3 linked regions of the Coturnix japonica genome follow. The protein of the gene in region 1 purifies or fractionates together with the protein of each later gene. This does not show direct contact. Links are inferred from orthologs where the notes say so. Each region holds a gene or a part of one and is shown in the gene's direction. Other genes may lie near its edges.

The links.
Region 2: the proteins of UPF3B (region 1) and RNPS1 purify together in Homo sapiens (co-immunoprecipitation; 5 studies listed by BioGRID and IntAct, with this or other methods). This does not show direct contact. The link is inferred for Coturnix japonica from reciprocal best matches to the Homo sapiens genes UPF3B and RNPS1.
Region 3: the proteins of UPF3B (region 1) and UPF1 purify together in Homo sapiens (co-immunoprecipitation; 16 studies listed by BioGRID and IntAct, with this or other methods). This does not show direct contact. The link is inferred for Coturnix japonica from reciprocal best matches to the Homo sapiens genes UPF3B and UPF1.

What each region holds. Positions count from the first base shown.
Region 1 is NC_029519.1:15,384,468-15,391,382, forward strand, and holds the end of UPF3B (regulator of nonsense transcripts 3B), read left to right. Parts: intron 1-548; coding exon 549-737; intron 738-1,220; coding exon 1,221-1,372; intron 1,373-2,060; coding exon 2,061-2,373; intron 2,374-3,245; coding exon 3,246-3,392; 3' UTR 3,393-4,234; downstream 4,235-6,915. Other genes in the region: RPL39 (60S ribosomal protein L39), read left to right, coding at 4,366-4,368, 4,583-4,686, 5,297-5,345; SEPTIN6 (septin-6), read left to right, coding at 6,667-6,693. UniProt on the Homo sapiens protein: Involved in nonsense-mediated decay (NMD) of mRNAs containing premature stop codons by associating with the nuclear exon junction complex (EJC) and serving as link between the EJC core and NMD machinery.
Region 2 is NC_029529.1:12,007,331-12,016,061, reverse strand, and holds the start of RNPS1 (RNA-binding protein with serine-rich domain 1), read left to right. Parts: upstream 1-3,113; 5' UTR 3,114-3,296; coding exon 3,297-3,298; intron 3,299-5,952; coding exon 5,953-6,108; intron 6,109-6,384; coding exon 6,385-6,576; intron 6,577-6,807; coding exon 6,808-6,910; intron 6,911-7,696; coding exon 7,697-7,850; intron 7,851-8,288; coding exon 8,289-8,430; intron 8,431-8,731. UniProt on the Homo sapiens protein: Part of pre- and post-splicing multiprotein mRNP complexes. Auxiliary component of the splicing-dependent multiprotein exon junction complex (EJC) deposited at splice junction on mRNAs.
Region 3 is NC_029543.1:2,802,305-2,810,390, reverse strand, and holds part of UPF1 (regulator of nonsense transcripts 1), read left to right. Parts: intron 1-118; coding exon 119-208; intron 209-740; coding exon 741-908; intron 909-1,293; coding exon 1,294-1,474; intron 1,475-1,876; coding exon 1,877-2,038; intron 2,039-2,622; coding exon 2,623-2,707; intron 2,708-2,863; coding exon 2,864-2,962; intron 2,963-3,145; coding exon 3,146-3,263; intron 3,264-4,108; coding exon 4,109-4,268; intron 4,269-4,371; coding exon 4,372-4,490; intron 4,491-4,742; coding exon 4,743-4,907; intron 4,908-5,144; coding exon 5,145-5,259; intron 5,260-5,447; coding exon 5,448-5,591; intron 5,592-5,711; coding exon 5,712-5,925; intron 5,926-6,133; coding exon 6,134-6,251; intron 6,252-7,266; coding exon 7,267-7,423; intron 7,424-8,086. UniProt on the Homo sapiens protein: RNA-dependent helicase required for nonsense-mediated decay (NMD) of aberrant mRNAs containing premature stop codons and modulates the expression level of normal mRNAs.

The sequences.
Region 1 (6,915 bases):
TCTTCTTGGAGAAGCAGCTTTCGATCCAATTTCCTTGCTCATAGTTAGTTTGCATATGTTAAACTATTACAACTATTAATTACAGTGATGTTTTGTATGTCCTGGTCACAGCCAGCACCATGCTGGACATCTCTGTGGCACTGCCAAACCAGATCCCATTACAATACTTGTGTTTTAATGCAGTTCTGATTGAGGTCCTTGTAGATAATTATTCTCCCAGCACATAATATCGTTTTAATGTCTAGCAATTCAGAAGGTCACTGATGAAACAGGTTTAATTGAAATTAGAATGTTAAAGGCTGAGTCTCCAGTCTCTTTTCCTGCCATAAATCTTGACTTGTACTGTGCTTTAAAATGTCACTGCTGTAATGTGTTCAGGTTCACAATAGTATAATAGAGAGAACTGTATTTGTGTAATAGGGAGAGTTCTGAGATGAGTTACTTTCTAATGGAATACTCCATCACTTCATAGCAAAATACCCTGTGGGACTTAAAGGGATGTTTTCTAGATCGGAGATACACCGTTTCTTTGTTTTTGACACACATAGAGGCTCAGAGAGGAAAAGAGAGAGGAGAGGAGGAGGAGAGAATTGGAAAGAAAAAGACAAAGGGAAGAAGAAAGAAGAAAATGGAAGGAGGAGGAGAGAAGAAAGAGAAAGGAAGCAGAAAAACTGAAGAAAGTAGACAGATGTCCAGAAAAAGAAAGAGACAGATCAAAAGAAGAACCAAAGATTAAGGTCTAGAACAGTTCTTTATTATAAACTGTTACATTCCTTTTCCCCTATTATTTGTATATAAGTCTTTCAAAATGTGCTCTGTGTGAAGAATCACATGAGTTCGGTGTTCGTAAATTACCACTTTTTTTGTAATATTTAATAGTAGGCATTGTAAAAATTAATGTGCTGTAACGCTTCATAGTAATACTTAAAGCTTTTGTCACGTGACTTGTACATGCCGTGGTGAACAAAATCGTGATTTTACTATGAAATAGAGACTTATTTTTAAGCTTTCTAACGTGTGTTTTAAGGGAAAAAAAAATCCAATATGTTGTGTGGATGATGCTTACTCATACACTCCAGCTTTTAAAGTACTGCAGTTTGCAGTAAAATTAATGTGCATTCCTTACTGGGCTGTGGTTCCCCTGATGCAATTTCAGTGTTGTGCCAGACAAATATGTATTAGAGTGAGCTTTTTAGTTGAGACTTGTGTTTTCTTTGTAGCTGCTTAAGAAGCCTGAAAAAGATGAGAAAGACTTGGAGAAAAAAGAAAAATCCAAGAAACTGGAAAAAGAGACTCTGAGGGAGGAAAAAAATGCGAGTAGTGCATCTGCCAAACGATCTGATGGGGAGACAAAAGAAGAGAAGGCAAAAAAGTATTTTAGTACTTGCTATAAATATCTATGTGTATATATAACGTGTTTCCTGATCGTACCGAGGGTCAGGCTGCTCTGCCTTGACCGTGTTTTGAAATCCCTTTCAGGTGATTTTTCTGCTGTAAGGTGTGGGATGTGTTTCCTGTGGCAGTGCAACATCCCCGTGGTTGTAAGAAGATGTGTGAATTACGTCATTTCTTCACTAGTGGACAAACTTTAAGGTTTCTTTTGCACCTCTCTCTAGGAACTCCACAAGAGAAGCCCAGGTGTAGGGGACCTACAGCAGGCTGAGAGCACAATCCTGGCAATGAAAGAATGATAACTGTGGCAAGAGGAGAGGCATATCGCAGTTACTAGTCCCTTTAAGTCTTGTAGAAGGGCAAGGTGGAAATCTAATACTCAGCAGCTTCATGATCTGTTCAGGGTGCAGTTCTGCCACGTGTGGCAGAGAACTTTAGATGCTTTGGAAGCCAGTGGAGACTCGGCCAGCTATGTGACCAGAAGGCTAAGAAATGTCAGCACTTGGTGCCGTCTCTGGTTATCGTGCATGACTTGGGTTAGGACAGTTTCCCAAACCTAGAACCTACCAGTCTGTCGTCTTCATATTGCAAATTTACAGCAGTATTACGTTGATCTCCCAACTCTGCTGAATCTTTTGAGCTTCATCTTCAGTTTTGTTTTCATACAGATCGGAAGATGAGTGTGTAAAGGACTACAGGGATCGAGATAGAGATTTTGAAAGAGACAGAGAATATGAGAGAGCACAGAGGGAGAAACTGAGACGCCAGGAGGAAGAGCGTCGGAGGCAGAAAGAACGCTTTGAGAAAGAAAAGGTTTTTAGAAGAAAAGAGGAAGAGGTGAAAAAGGAGAGAGACTTGCTCAGAGATAAGGGAAAGAAAAGTGATCTTACAGACTTTACCTGCGGCACGGACAAATCTGAGAAAGTAACCAAAGATGATAAAAAAGAGGATACAATTAAGAGGGATCGGATCAGAAACAAGGTGCTGTATTTCTTCAATTTCGTGTGTTAATTCACAGGGGCCGATCTGTGTTTTTAGGATAAATGCACTTTGAGGAAAGAACCGTATTGTTTCTGTCATAGTTCTCCCTGTTAATGTAACAAACTGCTAGAAAGGCTGCCCATTTGTTTACTAAGCTTTCAGACATTGATTTTATTTTTTTCCCCTCATCACTGTACAGGAATTAAGCCAAGGCAGTGGGCTCAGTTGTAAATACCTTGATCCCACTTCATTTGATAAAGATCCAGCCCGTTGGCAGGTGTTGGTACAGCATCACTAATCTGCATCTTTTGATGTATGTGCCTGAAAAGGTATCTTGGAGTAGGAGAGCAGTTGATCAGGTTCCTCCAAAACAGGGACAAGGCTGTTACGTGCCAAATATAATGGAAGATCCTAAGAATAAATTCTTGATGAAATGTTTTGAGTTCAGTTATACGTGCTGTGCAGGTCTGCTTTTGCAGTACAAGTACGTAAGGGATTGCTATGTAAGTCTTATGTGTCACCTAGGACGTTGTTGGGTACAAATAGAAGAGGTTTTGGAGGAACTTCAAAGTTGGTCTGAATTCTGCAGGAGGAAGAGCCAGACCTTCCTCCTATTCTGGCTCTGAATATTTCTATTCAGAAATAGAAGTAAAGTACCAATAACTTCAAGCAGGTGCGGTGTTCTTTGTGGCTTGAACAGGGGCAACCTTGATTCGAGGCAGTTGAACTTGCATTGCCGCCCTGGTGGAATAATATATTTTAAAACAGTCTGAAGGGTTTGAATTTGAGCCTTCTGTTATATTACTGCTGTCATTATAACCTTGAGAGTGCTGGGGCTCTGAAGGGGTCTAAATAGTTTTGATTTATTTCAGGATCGTCCAGCAATGCAGCTGTACCAGCCTGGAGCCCGAAGCAGAAGCAGATTGTGTCAGTATGAAGACAGTGCTGCAAAGTCCACAGATCAGGGAGCAGAGAAGAAACAAGAGAGTGAGAGCAGTAATGTGAGGGAAGAGGAGTGACCAGCACGCAGGCCTTATGTGTTCTGTGCAGCCAAAGAGCTTGTACTACGCAATCCAGAAGTGCCTTCGAAGCGAAGAAGGAACAGAGGAAGAGGAGTGGGGGCATTGCGCTGTTGGATGTTTCTGGCTAAAGAACCTCAGTTGTAGATTTGGAATTTGAAATGTTCTCATTGTATTTTCAGTTCTTTGAATTTATTTTCCTAGCATCTAACTACAACGGAGAAGAGAACCTTTGCAAAGTAGAAAGACTTTGTGGCCTTAAGTATGATAATAAATGAGTCCTGCAGCTGGGAGGAGATGACACCTGGATCTAATGCAGAGCTTTACTATAGAGCCATTGGAACCACTGTACGATGCTCTCAAGCAGAGCGAGCTAGCAGTGGTGTGCTGTTAAGCTGTGTGGTGCTCCTTCCAAAGCAACGACAGCTCGTTGATGGCAGTAGCACAGCCAGGTGTGCCGCTGGGTGAGGTAGGAAGGGAGAACATCTGGAATTGCACAGTGAGCTCAGGAGGGGAGAGCCCTTCCTCGAGAGAGAGTTAAGTTGGAGTGTATGACTAAGCTGGCTTGGTATGGGATACTGATACTGCTTGAAATTCCTTTGTAAAAGTCGACCAACACTGAAATGCTTATTTTGATCAGATGTAGTTGTACAGAGCATCCCCTTCTGTTCGAGCGTGAAACGTTTCCCAGCCGCTGTCCTCGGTCTGTGCTTCATCTTCCCTCTGTTTTCAGGTGTTGTTTGACAGCCCGGAAAGAGACTCGGCCGGTCGCGGCTCCTTTAAGCTCTCTCCTTTATCCGTAGCGCGTTTGTACTCGGCCCAATAAAGCTCCGCAATCACTCGCTGCCGCAGTGCTCATGCTCCGCCGCGCCGCTGGGGGGCGCTGTGCTCATGCGCCGCCGCCCCGCCCTCATCCCGCCCCTTCCGCCTCTTCCGCAGCCGCCATCGCCGGGACGCCGGGCCGCGCAGCGCTATGGTGAGGCCATCCGCTGCCATCCGGGGCCGGGACGCGGTGTTCCCTGCCCGCTTCACACCGGACGCTGGCTCGGGGCTCGCGGCGGGGCCAGGCTGGGTTCTGGTGGGGCGGGAGGGCGCTGGTTAGCATCGAGTCGATGTGCGGCCTGGCCGAGCTCCCGGGGCCTGGCCGAGCTCCCCGGGCCCGCCGCGCTGACCGGCCCTTTGTTTTGCAGTCGTCTCACAAGACTTTCAAGATCAAACGCTTCCTCGCCAAGAAGCAGAAGCAAAATCGCCCCATTCCGCAATGGATTCGCATGAAAACGGGCAATAAGATCAGGTAATGGATCGGCTGGTGCTGGTGGAGATGCTGTGGGCCAGCAGCGCGCAGGACCCTCGTTGGTGTGGTAACAGTGTGCACGTACTCAAAGGTGTTACATGCACGGATGCAGCTTCCACACGGGCACATAGATATCATCCAGCCTAATCTCTTATTTCTCATCTCCTGGCACTTAAATGCTTCTTTACCTTCCAAGCTGTGTGCTATAGCAGGCTGCAATTGCAGTGCTTCCTGCTGTGGGAGTACTGCCATTCCCCTGCTCAGAGTAACCCTGTTAACGCTGCCTTTGGTTTCACCTCTGTGTCGGTGAGGCTGTTTGTCCTTAACATGAACACGAATAGAAGTGTACTTTCCATATGCTGCTCATCATCACAAATCATGTGTATGCCTTAGGCTCCAGGCAATAGCTTTAATGCTCATTGGGCAGGATGTGCGTGGGGGTATTTTCCTCTCCAGAAGAGGAGAGAAAGTCCAGAGTTGACTTTTGTTGGCAGCTTGACGCCGTAGCATGATGGCAATCCTTCACTGATTATTGAGCTCATTAAAGGTGGTTTCAGTCCACCTGGCTGCTCAGTTGTGTGTGTTTTGCTAACTGATGTTTTTGCCTTAGGTACAACTCCAAAAGGAGGCACTGGAGAAGGACCAAACTGGGCTTGTAACACAGACTGTCTCCCAGGAGCTCTAATAACGCTGGTCTTTCTGCGTCAGATCGATAGACCCCAAATGCTGATAACAGCCCTCAAGACATTCCTCCTGTAGGACCGCACTGCGGTGCTATGGGCCAGGCCAGGCTCATGATATCAACAGGAACAATCTTAAAGCGTTTGGCATCTGAAACATGAAGACTGTGTTCTATTAGCGTTCTTTTTCTTTCAGGAATCATAAGTATTAACAGTGTACGGGCTTGTTAATAAATATGGACCTGAATGAATCGGCTGGTTTGGTGTATGCCGTCCTGGTGGTGGAGTGGGTTCAGCAGAGCTGAGCTTCATTTATGAAGGTGGAAAGGAGAAAGGGAAGAACACATCAAGGGCAGGGCAGGGATTTATCTCCTAGAAAATCCCGTATTCTCCACTTTTCTGTGGAGCTGTGAGTGCTGGCTGGGCTCAGTTCTCCCCCAGTCTCCACACATGGAACACCCCAAGCCTTTCCAGCTGGCTTTTAAGTTAAAAGAGGGAAGATTTAGGTTGGATGTTAGGGGGAAGTTCTTCACTAGGAGAGTGGTTAGGTCCTGGAACAGGCTGCCCAGGGAGGTTGTGGATGCCCCGTCCTTGGAGGTGTTCCAGACCAGGTTGGACGGGGCCCTGGGCAACCTGATCTAGTAAAGGTGTATGTTTGGTGGCCCTGCCAGGCAGGGGGGTTGGAACTACATGATCCTTGAGGTCCCTTCCAACCCGGCTCATTCTGTGATTCTGTGGCTGTCACCTCATGTTCCCAGATCCCTTCTCTCCGTGCAGCCGCTCTGCCCCAGGCCTGTGGTGCTGCCTGTGGTTGTAGTGATGGTCTCGTTAAGCTCATCCCTGCCATCATCCTGTCCACATCTCTGTATGGCCCTGCTGCCTCCAGCCAGATCATCACCTGCCAACATGGTGTCATCTGCCGGCTTAGCTCAGTGCCCTCATCCAGGCTGAGCAGGCCCTTATAGCCGCCCTTATTCCCACACACCATTACGGACACCGCCCGCCCTCTCAGCGCTCCCCAAGCGCGGTTCCGCTGTCCTCCTCCCGGCCCCGCCTGCAGCTCGGCCCGCACCACCGCCATCTGCCGGGGGGTGCCCGTCCCCCCGCGCCTCCCGCAGCCTGATGGCGGCGCCGGGACCGGCGGCACCGGGCAGGAATATGGCTGCGGAGCGGCGCGGGGTCTCGGCTCGGGCGGAGCTGGCGGTGTGAGGCGACGAGGCGGTTCCCCCCCGCGAGGCGGCGCGGTGGGCGCGTCCGGAGCCGGGCGGGGCGGGGCGGGCCGTGTGGCGGGCGAGCAGCGATGGCGGCGGCCGAGGTGGCGCGGCAGGTGAGAGCGAGACGGGCCGGGCTGGGCCGCGGGCACCGGGCGGAACGCGGGGAGGGTCCAGGGGGTTCGGGGGAACCGTGAGGGGAGCGGCGGGATCCGTGGCCCCGCGTAGTGCCCGCCCGTATCGCTGCGGTACGGCCCTGCCGAGCGGGAGCGGGGAACGGCGCGGGGTGCCGCAGGGTCCGCGTGTGGAGAAGCGTTCCACTGCGATTGTGTGTGCGG
Region 2 (8,731 bases), on another chromosome or scaffold:
GATCTGAGCTGCCACGTCCTTAGGCTATGATATATCAGTAGGTCTCACCTGCAATCTCTGGGCTAAGGACCATTGCTCTGCTCTAGCAAGCATCCTCCCTGCAAGGGTGGTTCCATTGGTTTGTTTCTGCTTTCACTTCAGGATGCAATTGTTTTCCCCTCAGTAACTGCATGTTTTTTTTCTGTTCCTTTCCTGCAGGCGTGAAACAGCCAGCCAGCCTGAGACCGACAGCACTTAGAGCAGTTGCTGGTACGTGTCCCTCCCCTCGCTGCCCATTGCCTACAGCTCCATTGTGGGGTTAGGTGGCCACAGCTTGTGACACCCCTCTGCTGTGGTCATTACATGTGAATGTAACAGAAACAGAAATTTACCTCTATAGCCATTGCTGTCATCTGCCTTGAAGTGAATCTAGCCCTGCAGTGGGGGTTTGCTCCTGGGGAGCAGTTTAAGTGCCCACCAGCAGTGCCTGGTCCCATCAGAGCTGCCCCTGAGAAGAAGCAGAGCCCACCCTCAGCAGTGGCCTTGCTGGGTTTGCCTTCCCACCAGGACGTGGCCCACCAGCACGTGCTCCTGCTCCTCCTCCTGCAGTCTCTGTGTGCTTCCTCTGTTTCTGGGTACCAACTTAAGTCCAGCCTCACTCTCTCTCCTTCTGTTCCCCAACAGCTCCGGTTTCCATGGCGTGTGGTGGCAGCTTGCAGAACTTAGCAGCATTGCAGCCTTCCTGGAGGAGACCTGGAGTGAATCAAGGGGTTTGGTGGGGGAGGGAGGGGTCAGGGCATCTTTATGGCATACCCGGGTGAGGGGAGGAGGAATACTCAACATTGCAGTTCCACTTTAGATAGGGCAAAGAGCTTGCCCTGTGCTGAGGCCAGGTCAGGTACGTTTGTTGTTTCTTGAGAATAAACACTCCATCTTGTTTGTAGAGCTGCAGTGTTGATCTAATCAGGAATTCACTGGCAGCATCCAGCACAGCTGCTGGGGCTGGCAGGCATTGCCCTGCACCAAGAGAAAAAAGCAATGCCTAAAAACAGAAGGCAGAATCTCAAGAAGCACCAAATGATTTGGCCTGGCCAGTTTCTTTTTGACTTAGGCACTGCAATAAGTGCCTGTTTCGGGTACCTTGCAGAATGCAAAGCTATTCCAGGACCTGAGGACATCGATAGCTGGCAGCTGCCTGGCTTGACCCTTCTGGCTGAACTGAGATGGGGTTTGCACACACACTGACACCGGGGGCTGGCAGCACGTAGCTCCATCAGGGGGTGCCGGGCAGAAGCTGTTGCCTGCTGCTTCAGTTCAATATCTGCAGATTCAGAGAGGAGCCAGTGAGTGTTGGGGCTTTGGAGGGTTTTCCCTCTCCAAAGCCCTCTCCCATATGGCAGAACTTGAAAGTCAGAGAAGTTGGATGTGACCAGTGACACTGGGAGACAATGACAGAGGCTCAGTGGGGAAGAAGAGTAAACAGTAGGTAGAAATGCTTTGGGTGCTGATCTGTAACCCACTAAACCCCATCCACTGGCTTTTCAGTCCCTTCTTTGCAATGTAAAGGCTGCCCCGAAGGCCTTGCAGCGCTCCCTCATCTGCTGCGAGTGCTTAACATCCTTGTGCTTCAGTCCCTGTGATATTTAGTAATTTAGTCTGCCAGGAAAAATAGAAAAAAACACCCCTACAGATCTCACAGTTGACAGCCATTCCAGCCAGCAATGGGGGAAGGAAAAAAGCTGAAGTGGACAAATAGTGAGGATTTCCTCGGGATTCATCTAGAATGGATGCAGATGAGCAGCATAAAGGTGCTGGAAATAGCCTCTAAGCAGACAATGGCTGCCAGGGTCGCCCTGTGAGTGGTGCTGCCCTTCCAGGCAGACTCCTGGCAGCACACACAGCCTGCAGCTCCTGTAGCTCTGCCCCAGCTCACCCAGTCTTCCTAAGGCCCAACATTTAATCCTAAGGGTGGGAAGCGTGTCCTCACTGGGGCTGCAAACTCCAGCCTGAATACTTCACCTTGCCCCTCGGATGAGCACATAACCCCTCACCCAAGCAGCAAATGCCTGACATCTCTCAGCCTACAAGGGACAGGCCAGCAGCCCTGAAAGCGCTTTGCTGGAAGCAGCACGGAAGTCTCCAGCTTCAGGAGGGCAGTGCATGTTAGACTTGCTTGCGGAAGTAGCTTTAGAAGCAGCACACGCAGCAGCCTGCGCTGTAGAAGTAGCAGTAAAATGAAAAGATCCTGTGAACACAGGGAGGAGCTCAGAGATGCCTCTGCTGCAGCACATACACGGCTGAGCACAGCTCAGCACAGCTGGGTGCTGGCACAGGCTGGGGACAGCCAACAACCTCACACCTCCCATGGCCATCCAGGCACCGGCAGTTGGGTACCCTGGCCTTGCTTCAGGGTGCCTGGAAGTCTTCCCAAGGCAGCCTCCAGCAGCACGTGTCTGTGTGCACAGCAGAGTCAGCCCGTTCCTTGTATGAACCATGCGTGATCGGAGCAAAACCAATAAACACTGAGCTCTTAGTGCCTCCTGCCTGCTGGAACTGCTGACCTGAGCCTCTGTGCTTCACCTCCCCACGTCCCCTCCCACTCATTCCATGTCCCTGGTGGCACCTTGGCCGCCTCCACGCAGCCTTGGCTGCGCACAGTGCCCATGTCACCAGTGGGACGTGGTGCAGTGTCTGTCACCTCAGCCATGATGTGGAATTACCAACAGCAACAAGTACAAAACCACGACACCCCCCAAAGCAGTGGGAGCTCAAAGCTTTCCCCTCGTGCTGTGGCCCATTAAACATCATTAACTATGAGCGTAAATCCGCTTCTCCCACCCCAGTGTCATCCCCAGAAGCGCTGGCACTTGGTCTGCTGTCCCATGCAGCATCTCAGCTGAACCTCCATCTGTTGTATTCTCTGGGGGGCTGGTGGCCATTCCAAAGCTGCACCCACACCCACTGAGATCTTATTTCCTTTAAGAGCCAGTTCAGCCCTTGCTGTGCTCTGCTGGAGCAATAGGGAAAGGCTCACGTCCAGCTGCTGACACTGAGAGCCAGCTATGCATTGGGAAGGTCACCATTCGTCAGGAGCCATCACGGACATGATGAGGCGGACATGGCGGTGCCCATAACGGCACGGGCCGCCCACAGACCGTGACAGCAGGACAACATGGATCCCCTGCCCGGCCCCTTTAAGGCGCCCACCTCCCCTCCTCCCCCCTGGTGACGTCATCACTGCTCGCCACACGTTCGCTCTTCCCGCTCGTTCTGCGCCAATCGCGCGCGCCGGGCCCGGAGCGCTGAGAGCGCCGAGGATGTGAGTGTGTTGGGGCTGAGCGCCGTGCGGCCATCGGCCGCCATCGGCCTTTCATCCGCCTCCATCCGCCTCCATCCGCCCCGCCGCCGCTTCGGGGCGGCACCGCCGCATCTCGGGGCTGCCCAGGGGAGCGGGCGGGAGCCGACGGAGGGGATATGGATGGACGCGGGGGATAGGGATGGCGCCGCGGCCTACCGGGGGCGGGGAGGAAGGCGGGAGGCCGGGCCGGGGCGGAGCCGGGGCTGAGGCCTGCAGCGGAGTTGGGGCCTGGTGGTCCCGGCGCCCGGCAGCGGCAGAGCAGCGAGTCGGGAGCGACCCGCGGGTCTCGCTGTGCCCGGCGTCGTTCCGCAGCCTGAGAGCGGCTGAGCCCCGGCCGCTCTGGGCCCCGCGCTGCCATGAGCTGGGCCGGGGGCGTTGAGAGGAGCTGCCGAGCGGGCTGACCTTAAATCACGCGAGGAAAACTTTGCTATAGTTGTTGTTCATATAACTATAAACAAGCTGCCGTTGCAGGGCGCGCCTGCCCTGCAGGAAGGCTGAGGGAGAGCCCAGGTCGTTGCCTTGGCTGCAGCTCTCTGTAAGAATAGGTCTCATAGCTGACTGTGTGCAGGGAATGGGCAGCTTAATAGAGTGCCCCGAGGCCGGCTGGGCTGGGCTGGGTGCTGCACAGACACTGAGATGTTGGGGATGTCGGGTTTGGTTTCCATTCTTGGAAGGGTGGATGTTGCTTAGAAGTTCCTTGTGTTGTTTTAATGTGCTCATGCTGCGGTGTTATTCTTTATGGAGGTGTGTTTTAGTGAATGCCTGAGCACCTACAAGTGAAAGTGCCCAGAGGCTGCATCTCCCAGGCTGATCTTTCCAACTAAAACTGTCCTGGGAAAGGTCTGTGTTCATTGGGTGAAAGAAGAACACTGGTTACCTTAAGGGCTGCCTAAAAGCAGCCTTTCACAGGAGGTTGCTGGATGTGTAAGCAGCATTTGGCTGTTTAGTCTGGTAAGTGCCAGCCCTGTGGGTGCACACAGGAGTGCTGCTGATGGTGCTGTTTACATGCAGCTCTTCCCAGCTCTCCAGCAGCAGGCAGGACATTAGCAAAGCACTTGTTGGGCTTCTGAGCTCTCACTTCCCATCTTGCAGAGAGGTGGAACTGGGTGATCATTAGAGTATGTGATAGATGCAGCCCTCTCATAGGAAATGTTTGGAATTGAGCTGTCAGAGTTCAGGTTTTACATGTAAACAGTTAATAGTTACACATGCAGCACACTGGCACACACGTTCATTCTCTTCCAATAACTCATTAATGTATGTTCGTGTTCCTCTGGGCATGCACAGTTACACTGAGGGTGGTTGCTGGTTGTATGCCCACTTACTTTGTCCCCATTTTTCCACCATCAGTTCCATCACTGACATTTTTGATTCACCTGGAGCTGGTTTTCCCCAATTTTGCAAACGTCCATTGCTTCTTAGGCCATAATGGGCAACTTCCAAAACAACGTGTGTGGAAATCCAAGGAAAGCGTCCTTGCCCCTGGTGAAATACAATGACCAGTGGTCTGTCGTGACTCCAGTGCTGCTTATGAAGGGGAATTGAGAGAAAACAAGGCTGATCACACACCAGGCAAAGCAGAAGTGGAGAGTTTTAGGACTAGTGCTCATTGATTCCTTTTGCTGAATTAATATATTGCTCCTCAAACTAATATACTGATCTCTGTTGCTCAATGAACCAGCCTATATTGTTACTCAGCAGCCATCTCTTCCTGCCAAGCATGTGCTTTGCTGCACAGGGTGACTATGGAAGAAACCAGAGCTTCCTCTGGAGATGAGGATGTTGTCAAGAGGCAGGAGCTGCATGTGTGCCGTGTGTAGGAGATGAATGTCCTCTGTGTGCCTTCAAGGGGAGCACATAGCGAGGGTCTTTTGTACTTCTGTGAATATCACAATTTGTAACTTTAAACACGCATACAGGTCTGTATTCCATGAAGGTTGAGCTGGCCCAGGGGCTGGATGTAACTGCCATGCAGTGCTGTGCCTGGCTGCAGTGCCCTGGAGAACACACTTGTCCTCTGGTGTGCTGCCACTGGTGCACAGCAGCTCTGCTCTTCTGTGTCTGTTCATCTTGTTTCTGAACACTCTTACCTTGTCACTTGGCTGCTCTGTTGCTTTCAATTAGGGGTCACTTCTCAGAAGCAAGGGGTTAGAACTGAGATTTGGCACAAGTGAGGCCTGTTTTGCTTTGGATACCTCTGAAGGGGAAACAGAGTTAATGGGAATTAAAAAGAAGAGTTTGCTGGGTCTTAAAGAAAATAACAAAAAATCCAGCACTAGGTAATCATTCCAGATTTTCAAGGCCTGCTGGAAGCGGGGATGCTGTAGGGTACTGGGGCTTTCCCAGTGAGGGTAAGGAGTTGAAAATATCTCTGTGGGTGAACTTACACATGACAGTAAGTTCTGTGTGCTGGACCTGCTGTCCGCAAAGCTGCTACTCTGCAATGTAACACATTTTCCTTTTTCCTAAAAAGCTCGAACTTACCTAATGCTTTAACTCTGCTCTTTTGGTGTCTTCAATTACATTTAAAGTTCAGTGTTTTGTGTTGCTGTTCTGTTCCTTGTTTGAGTGTGTTTTCCATATTAAACAATCCCTTCTGCCATGTATTCTTGAAGGGCTCCCTCACCAACCAAACGCAAGGATAGGTCTGAAGAGAAATCAAAGGACCGATCCAAGGACAAAGCAGCCACTAAGGAATCGGGTGAAAAGGATCGTGGTCGGGACAAGACGCGCAAAAGGCGCAGTGCTTCCAGTGGGAGTAGCAGCACCAGGTAGCTACCATTACAGGCAGTAACAAATACATGTTTTCAGAGCCACCTTTTGCTGACTTCCACACGGCTCAGATTTACACAACCTTTGAATTGCATTGGTCACAATGGAAAGATTAAAGGAAGGGGTTTTGACCGTTGTGAAGTATGGTGGAATTAGTGAGCTATGGAGAGTCGGTTTTCATTGCTGTAACTTGCAGTTGCTTTCTGTCTACCAGGAGAAGAGCTTCAGCCATTCTTTTTCTGGGTATTCCACTCATGTTTTGCTTCCTTTACCAGGTCCCGCTCCAGCTCCACTTCCAGCTCAGGATCCAGTTCCAGCACTGGTTCCAGCAGTGGCTCGAGCTCCTCTTCTGCCTCAAGCCGCTCTGGGAGCTCCAGCACCTCACGCAGTTCAAGTTCCAGCAGCTCCTCTGGATCCCCCAGTCCGTCCCGACGGAGACATGACAACAGGAGGCGGTCCCGCTCCAAGTGAGTTCATGTTGTCTTTAGGAATTCCTACAGAGCAGGTTCCTTGTGCAATACAAGGTTGTGATCAAACAGATTTTTACCAAGGATGGTCTGCATTCTCCGTAACTTAGAGATGTGAATTTTGTTAGAACAGGCATGTTTCTATTAATGGCAGTCAAAATGGATGCCAGCTTCTAGTTCTTGTCGTCTTGTTTCCCCTGAAAACTGTGAATGTTTTCATGTCCAAATCAGGTCCAAGCCACCGAAGAGAGATGAAAAGGAGCGGAAGCGGCGCAGCCCATCACCCAGACCTACAAAAGTGCACGTTGGGAGGCTCACTAGAAACGTCACCAAGGTAATGGCATGTTCTCCTGTAATGCCACGCAGGTGCACCCCTGTGGGCGTGTGTTGGTGGCTTTTTTTAAAGCCTTCAAGGTTTGTTTTGTTGCTGGTGTACTGCCAGCACATTGCTGTTGGAAATGCTTGCTTTGTGTCCAAACTGATGAGCGTGGAATGCTTCAGTAGAACTTCCTCAAGTCAAATTAACTGTGGGCTTGTGTAATTCAGTAGTGTTAAAAGTTCTGTCTGCCTTATTGGTACCCGAGAGCTCCACCTTCCTAGGAAGAAAGCTGTAGAAGTCAGTACAGCAGTAGAAATCACCTGGGAGGCATTAAGGACACCTGGGGGGTTCACCAAAAGGAGCTTCAGGAGAGCTGGACTGGCTGGAGTTGTCTTTGCTAGAATGTAGTTTAAAGGTCTGCAGAAATACAAGTTTAGGGTGCTGAAAAAATGCTATTTAAAAACACAATATTAAGAATTGCACCTTAAGACTTTCTAAGTGAGGACACAACTTCACTTTCCTAAGGTCCCCAGGAAGGTTTTTACACTAGTGCAGCTTTTGTAGCCTGTGGTGGTGTTCAGCCAGTAATTCTGTTAAGGATTAGAGTGATCTGAAGTGAAACAGACATAGATGTCAGTAGAGGATGTGGTAATCTCAGTGTCCTTTCCACACCTGATCAGTGGAATATATCTCCTGCAGGTGGCATTGATTCAAAGCTGATGTGGTGCTGTGTGCTCTGTACCAGCCAGAGCTGCTCAGTGATAGTGCTGTACATCCTTAAGTTCTGCTCTTTTTTGGCAGGATCACATCATGGAAATTTTTTCCACTTATGGAAAGATTAAAATGATTGACATGCCAGTTGACAGGCTAAATCCACACCTCTCTAAAGGCTACGCTTATGTGGAGTTTGAGAACCCAGATGATGCTGAGAAAGCCCTGAAACACATGGATGGAGGTAGGTGTCAAATGCTGCAAGGAGGCTGAGTGCTTTGAAAGAAGTTTTTGGATTTGATGTGAAAATGAGATGGAGATGATGGGCTGCCTTTTGGGGAACTGATCTGACGTGCTGTCATTCTGTTTTCAGCCCAGAGGGGCTTTTGTATGGTCTCAGGACAGGTTGAAAAGAAAATACAGAACTATTAAAATGATAGTTTTGTTTTTTTTTTCCAAACAAAATATCATTTAAATCTTTGTGAAAATCCTTCCTGATCCATGTCTGGTGGGATACTTGGTGAAGAAGTCTGGTGTGTGTGTGGTTTGGTCAGTATAACTTCAGAGTGTAGTGGAAATAGGAGCACGGGGTCGTGCTGCTTGTGTCAGAGCTGTGAATCGCTGTCACTTGGTTTGTTGGTGCTGGCAAACACTAACTTTATTTTTGTGACTTTCTGAACAGGGCAGATCGATGGGCAGGAGATCACTGCCACAGCTGTACTGGCACCACGGCCCAGACCGCCGCCTCGGCGCTTCAGCCCCCCCAGGAGGATGCTGCCCCCACCCCCCATGTGGCGCAGGTCACCCCCTCGCATGAGGAGAAGGTGAGAGCTGTGGCATTTCTTATTTCCTTCTTGTTGTAACAAGAATTTGTCATGAAGTCCCAGTGCCAGGACAGCTTCGTCTCATTGGAGTTGATTGTCCACTCCAAATGACAGTTCAAAACAAAGCAGTCACCTTCTGGGTGTCAGTTGAACTCAGATTGTTCTTAATATTCCATTCCTGGGACCTTGGTGTCACACTGGTGGCTGTACAGACTAATTGTAGCACTTTATCTTTAGAGCTGAGCTTCCTGTGAGAAGTGTCTGTGGTGCTGTGTGAGCTGTGTCAATACTGAACAATATT
Region 3 (8,086 bases), on another chromosome or scaffold:
AACAACTCTCATGATTCCTAATTTTCACTTCGCCTTATTTTGTGCACTTCTAAATCTTGTATTTGCATTTTCCTATTAACAATTTCCCAACCACTTCCTCATCTCGTTTCATTTCCAGTTACTGTGGTATCCATGACCCTGCCTGTGTGGTTTACTGCAACACCAGCAAAAAGTGGTTCTGTAATGGGCGTGGAAATACATCTGGCAGGTAAATGATTAAATGATGGAAATTAGATGGGCAAACTTGCTTTAGTGTTTGTTTTGAAATGGCATAATGGGTGTGACTTATATTTTCCACCATGATTGAAGTCTCGTGACTTGAATGTGAACCTCCAACCTCTACCTTTTCCTGTTATGAGCTTACAGCTTCATCTCAGTGGAACCTGAATTACTTTTGTGACGTGAGCTCACTGCTTCTTCCCCCTGTGCTCTTGCAGAGCAGCGTAACTCATGCTGTGATCTCTGGAGCGTCAGGAAGCTGCTTCCAAATAACAATTTCTTACACATTGCCCCTTCTTTCACATTCACTTCAAAGTATTTATGCACTGGAAAAACACTGAAACTGTCAGCAGTCATCTTGGCCTGGATGAAAAGAGCAGGGAATTACTAACGTCTGCCAAAGTATGAATAGGTTTTTGTTTATCTCTTAATAATGACTGAGTTGCTATGTTACATAAAGTTAGAACTAAATCTGGTTTTCATATTGACTGCTTATAAATACACATCCTCTCTGGTTTCAGCCACATTGTTAATCATCTTGTGAGAGCAAAGTGCAAAGAGGTGACTCTCCATAAAGATGGACCTCTAGGAGAGACTGTCCTGGAATGTTACAACTGCGGATGTCGTAATGTGTTTCTCCTTGGCTTTATTCCAGCTAAGGCAGACTCTGTGGTTGTTTTGCTGTGCAGGTGAGAGAATGCCTTTATTACAGTGTTTGTGTTAAGTATTGCACAACTGGATTTCTACATGACAGCCATCAGCTTTCACTTTGTACCTCAGTGTTTTATACTCTCCTTTTTATCCCTACGTCATGTTTAGTATCTTAGATGCTGAGTTTTTTCAGTCCTAATAATACAGAAGAAATTCTGATCAGGATACCTTGCCTCTGCAGTGTTGAAATACCAAATGAAGGAACTGATGAATTGGCTCAGCAGGCTACTAGTGTTGGCTCTCTTCTTTTAACCAAGATGCTTAATATGTTTGAAGAATACATTAAACATGTTCTTATACTTTGGTAGATTCCCTTACAGCTGTTTCAAAGTAATAACTTTTTCCAATATTTTGGTTGTGCAGGCAGCCATGTGCAAGTCAGAGCAGTTTAAAGGATATTAATTGGGACAGTTCACAGTGGCAGCCTCTTATCCAAGATCGCTGTTTCCTTTCGTGGCTGGTAAAGATTCCATCTGAGCAGGAACAGCTGAGAGCACGTCAGATTACAGCTCAGCAGATTAACAAACTGGAAGAACTTTGGAAGGTATTTCCCACATTTCAGATACCATTTAAGTTTTACTTAGTGCTGGTTTTGTGTCTTATAAAGGAGGGACAAGGCTGTTTTAGCAACAGTGTAAAGCAGGAAACGTAACCTAATATATATGAGGTTCAAACCTTAACCTTTTGAGAAGCAATACAACTGGGAATTTACTAGAGAATTCAGGAGATCACCTGTTAAAGTAGGAAAGCTTCATCTTTGGGTTCTGTCAGTCAGTCTGTAGTCAGTCTCTGCTTTTTGAGAGCTTTTTCTGTACATCTGTTAATGCAGAACAAACTTGACTGCAGGTAGTTGAGCATGACATAATATCTCAGTATAGTTTTAGCGGTTTATTGTCACTTGTTTCAAAGTTTTAAGCACAAACAAGACTTGTGTGTTAAATTCTAGGAAAATCCATCCGCAACCCTTGAGGACTTAGAAAAGCCTGGTGTTGATGAAGAGCCACAGCATGTCCTGCTTAGATACGAAGATGCTTATCAGTACCAAAATATATTTGGTCCTCTAGTCAAGCTTGAGGCAGACTATGACAAGAAGCTTAAGGAGTCTCAGGTAACCTGCTTGAAAAGTGGGTGGGGGGGACTTCTGACCAGTTCTCTCACTTAATAGAAGGAAAAACTAAAATGAAGTATATGTAATATTACTGTAATAAAGACCTGACAGTAATTAACAGTAGTAATGATGTGTGATCACAGGGAAAAACTTGAGACAACACTTAAGGTCTTCCATCTGTTCTGAATTCCAAGTTTGTCTTTCCTAGAATCATATTCTTTGTCAGAGCTGCTTCTTGGCCACCTTCTGTTATGTTCTTTTACTCATAACATGTAGATACCTTTTATCAGTCACTTTCCAGTCAAGCTTGTAATATGTTGGGGACACTTAATGGTTTTTTATAAAGCAAACACAGGTGGTGATTACAACATATTTCTCATTAACTAAACATGTTGTCTTTGAAACAGAATTAACTTCTACAGGTGGTGTTAATACAGTCCATAATAATAAATACAGGCATTTGACGGCAGTGGAAGAGCAAGTTTTGTATTTCTCCACTGTTTTGAAGTTTAGGGCCATGAGAATTGTGGTAGTTGGTGAACAGCTCCTTAAGAACATAATATTTGATCTTTCTTTATTGTTAGACCCAAGATAACATCACAGTCAGATGGGACCTGGGCTTGAACAAGAAAAGAATTGCTTATTTCACTTTGCCAAAGACTGATTCAGGTAATGACAGCTCAACTTCATGTTTTTTTTACCTGGTGAATAACATCACTATTTAAAGAACTGTAATGCTCTGGCCTGGAATATAAGATAGTCCTGTAGGTTTTCTGCACTGTGGGCTGGTTGTTGTAAATGTTCTTTTTTCTCTTTGCTTTGTAGATATGCGTCTTATGCAAGGAGATGAGATCTGCTTGAGGTATAAAGGAGACCTGGCCCCATTGTGGAAAGGAATTGGCCATGTTATCAAAGTTCCTGATAGTATCCTTTACTTAGTGAGCCTTCAGATGAGGCTAAATGAAATGTTAAATTATCTCTGAGGAACCCCTAAATTGTGTACATAAGTAATTTTGGAACTATTGTAATTAGTGGGTGTCTACTTTAATAAATCAAAATCGGGAAAAATAAAATTCAAATTTTTGCTATAGATTACTACTTAACGAGGTTCTACAGATTATGGTGATGAGATAGCCATTGAGCTGAGGAGCAGCGTTGGAGCCCCTGTGGAGGTTACTCATAACTTCCAAGTGGATTTTGTGTGGAAGTCTACTTCATTTGACAGGTATTGAAAGCACTTAAACTGAGCAGATGAGTTCATAATGAGTTCAGTAGGTGTATATTTTTTCTTCTGACTTCAGTGGGATTTTTGAACACGAGATGATGTATTGTTTCATTATGCTCGTAATCAGAGGGAGTGTATTGAGTTCATCAAGTTCACGAACGTGACACCTGCTTCACAGAGCAACAGCTCTAATTGTTGTTAGAGGTGGTAATGTTCAGCTGAATTCCAAGCTGTCACTGTTTCTCACTTCGAAAGCACATTCAGGGATTTTGGAAATACATTCATGTAACATGCAAATCCAAGGGGAAAAATTAGCCTCAAGCTTAGTAGCATTTAGGATTTAAGAAGAAAAAGATTTGAGGTTCTGTTTGTTAATGCAGTCATGAAGGGATCTCTGTTCTTATTTGCTCTCCTCAACTTTGAATAACTTTGACAATCTCAAGGAAACTGAATCAGCTGTGGGGGCTGTGGGCTTGAGATGTGTCCATACTGCGTGTTGTGAGATAGGAGTTTGTTTGTTGTCATGAAATAGAGGGACTGAGTACAGCTTTTATTCAGATCTTGCACCTAAAACATCCACTGCAAACTCTGTCAGAGTCCAGTTCCATGGCTGGTTTGTGGTTATACTTTGTGGAATGCACACTGGAGAAACAAAGATCTGTGTTCTGGAAGTCTAATAACTTTGGGGCTCATAATTCTGCTATTAGATGCTTTGCACTGTCTTTTTTCCCAAAGCTGTGTTTTAATATGTCTGATGGCTGATTAACTTCTGTTAGACGTTTATGCATAATTTCATCTGAGGTAATCCTGATATTGTTATGTTTTTTGTCCTTTGTTCATTTCAGAATGCAGAGTGCTTTAAAAACATTTGCTGTGGATGAGACTTCGGTGTCAGGATACATCTATCACAAACTGTTAGGCCATGAGGTGGAAGATGTAATTATTAAATGCCAGTTGCCAAAGCGCTTTACAGCACAAGGACTTCCTGATCTCAACCATTCTCAGGTAACCTCATCTTCCTTTTTTCTACATGCAAAGAATATGATAAAGGATTTATGACTGATGTTGAGTGCATGGAATACTGAATAGCATTACAATAATTCCATAGGTTTATGCTGTGAAGACTGTCCTGCAGCGTCCTCTGAGCCTTATCCAGGGTCCCCCTGGTACTGGAAAAACAGTGACATCAGCTACCATTGTCTATCATCTGGCTAGACAGGGCAATGGGTAAGAACTTCTCTGAATCTTTATGCCTGAGCTTACCTCATTATTGGTCCAGAGAATCAGCTCACATTTAAACACTTAAGCAGTCTGTATCCTTTGAACTGGGAAGATTTTCTAGAAGCGTATTATTCTGTGAAGTTCTGAGCTTAAATCAGAAGATGTTCATCAGTAGCTTAATTTTAGGGTCCTTTTGTGCAGGGAGAAGCTTTTAGTTCATTGGCACTTACTTTTTTGCCTTCTTTTTTTTCCCCCAAGGCCTGTGTTAGTGTGTGCTCCGAGTAACATAGCTGTAGATCAGCTGACAGAGAAGATCCATCAGACTGGTCTGAAAGTGGTTCGGCTGTGTGCTAAAAGCCGTGAGGCAATTGACTCACCTGTATCCTTCTTGGCACTGCATAACCAGATCAGAAACATGGATAGGTAAGAAATGGGTGAGAGGAGAGGGGAAGACACCCCCAAAACCCCCAAACCTCAGGTATAGTGATGGATGAGGTTGTTTTAACAGCTCTCTGACAGTGACTGTATATATTTTGCTCTGTGCATAAGTCATTTTTAGTTTGGCAAACACATTTTCTTGTTTCTGTGGTAATATGCAAAGAGCTTCAGTGTGAGCTGGAGTTGTTACTTAGATTATAATGCAAAATTCCATTTTTGCAGCATGCCAGAGCTTCAGAAGCTGCAACAACTCAAAGATGAAACTGGAGAACTGTCATCTGCTGATGAGAAACGCTACCGTGCACTGAAACGAACAGCAGAGCGTGAATTGCTCATGGTAAAGTTCCACTAGATACAATAGTCCTGTTACTGCCTTCTCCCACTGGAAGCTTAGTTGCAGTTTGTTGGCAGATATCAGTGTGCAGTTTAATTTTTGGGGAGATCCCTGGAATGATATTCAGTGACCTTCTGTTTGGAAGTGTTATCTGTCCTGCTTGATTGATTTCGGTTGTGTTTCTGTCTCAGAATGCAGATGTGATCTGTTGCACGTGTGTGGGAGCTGGTGATCCAAGACTTGCAAAAATGCAGTTTCGCTCCATTCTGATCGATGAGAGCACCCAAGCCACTGAGCCAGAGTGCATGGTGCCAGTTGTGCTGGGAGCAAAGCAGGTATGAGCCATCAGATGTCCTTAATGTGTGATTTATAAATAGGTGAAGTAGTAATTTAGGCAGAAAATTCAGACTTAGGTATCTGCGTTGTCATCAGTGGTGATTTTTTCTTTTCCACAGCTTATTCTCGTAGGTGACCATTGCCAGCTTGGTCCTGTTGTGATGTGTAAGAAAGCTGCAAAGGCAGGCCTGTCTCAGTCCCTGTTTGAGAGGCTGGTAGTGCTGGGGATTCGTCCCATCCGCCTGCAGGTGCAGTACCGCATGCACCCTGCCCTGAGTGCTTTCCCATCCAACATCTTCTATGAGGGCTCGCTCCAGAATGGTGTCACTGCAGGTGAGTAAGAATGGCATTTCCTTCAAATTCCTTTCTCTACAGTTCATTAAGGATCGAAGGAGAAATTCTTTGATCTAGATTAGTTTCTTTTAAATTCAATTAGGAAGGGAACTGCTTCCACACTGATGGTTTTGAGTCTTTGAGGTATTGCTGTGAAAGTGGATTTTTAGTAAAGCAGTACTGACTTGATCACTTTTGTGTTCTTCAGCTGACCGTGTGAAGAAAGGGTTTGATTTCCAGTGGCCGCAGCCAGATAAGCCAATGTTTTTCTATGTTACACAAGGACAGGAAGAAATTGCCAGCTCAGGCACCTCTTACCTGAACAGGTAAAAATCGATACTGAGATAAATTTACTTAGGAATACTGATAGTATCAGTGTACAAGCAATTAAGTGCCCCATGTGAGAGGGATGAATTTAAAACAGAAGTAAAATGACTGCATTTGCACCCAGGAAGTGCTGGTTGAGTCCCATTTCAAAGCTTGAATTCCAGTAGCTCCTGAAACAAAGTCCTAAAGGGAAGATGTTAGAAGAGGAGACGGTAGCACAAGAGAGCTTTGGAGGGGTGGGAATTTCATTCGTTTTTTCCTATCTGTTTTTTCTGCACATCCAAAGTTTTCCAAAGAGCGAGCTTCTAACACTTTGCTCCTTTGCATTACATGCATTTATTTGTGTGCCTGGAAGGAAGAACCAGACCAACTTACTAAACATATCTGCTGTGATATTTTTAACCTGTCTGTCTCTTGAACTGCGTGTGCAGGAGTGCTGAATGCAACAGGGCAGACTGTGCACAAACAAATAGCACAATCGTTGGCTGACAGGGCGATTGGCATTAAAAATAAGTTCTCTATTTAAAACTTTAAGATAAAACAACAGAAGGATCTGTTTGTACAGCAGGCTGGAACAATTCTCATGGTCTCACTCGAAGTACAAACATACATTTAACTCTGTGAAGTGTATTTCAAAAGAGTGATGGCTGTTCTGAATTCTGCTATTCCAGGAAGCCTAGTTGTGCAGTACTAAAAAGGTGGATGTAGATTTCAGGATAAATTTGTGGTGTTGTGACCTCGTTTTGAGGTGTTAGCTTTTGCTCTTGTTCCCTTGGATGAGAGCATCTGTTTGTAGCCTCAGCCAAGAGGTGATAGCAGTGAATGTTCGTGCAAAGCTTAAGCTGAACTAGTTTGAGTGACAGAGCGTTGTGGTGTAAAAATGATCTGTTTCTGAAGTAGCCTTTGTGAAAGGAGGCACAGCACACGTGTTCAGGTTTTCTAGCCCCATTCACTGCAGGTGTTTAGACCTAATGCTGTAATTTACTTAAATAAATGAATCTTTTTTTTATCTAGAACGGAAGCTGCCAATGTGGAGAAGATAACTACAAAGCTATTGAAAGCTGGTGCCAAACCTGATCAGATTGGCATTATTACTCCTTATGAAGGCCAGCGATCCTATCTGGTGCAGTACATGCAGTTCAGTGGTTCCTTGCATACGAAACTTTACCAGGTATGGAGTCATTGCACAAACAAGAGAACTTCTTGATGCTGAGAAGATAGAAAAGGCAGACACTGTGAAACTCAAATGTTTTCATTTTCAGTCTGGCTTCTCGGGCTCCAATCTGTTTGTTCTTTAGTAACTTCTGAGCACGATTAGTTGACCTTAGGTAAAATAGATGAAGGGAGGGTCTTAGCAAATGCCAGTAAGTTTCAGGAGAGCAGTTTGCCAAATAATAGAGAAAGCCCAGTGAGGTTCTGCTGGAAGGAGAGCTTCAATGAGTCTGTCCTCTGAGGGCTCATTGAGGCACAAAAGAGAAAGGTCAGCAGTGCTTCAGCTGTGGAAAAACATCTCAAGCTCGGAGACATGCAGGAAGTTGAGCACCATAAATCCTGATGTTCAAGTATTTGTTTGCTTAGGACTGTGTCCTCTGATGAATGGACCTCCTCCACCAACCAGTAAACCATGTTGCTGCAGGCAAGCTGGTTAGATGTTTAATACAGTCTCTTTTTCAATAATTGAAAGCTTGGGCAGTGTTTTCACTGAAGGAAAACTTGGTGGAAATACTTCTGTCCCTGCCAGGAATGATCTGTTCCTCTGATTCAGGCTTCTCAGGAGCTGGGAGCAGCAGTGCTAATCTGCAGCTGTATTGCTATGAGGTTTTGGATAGCCAAA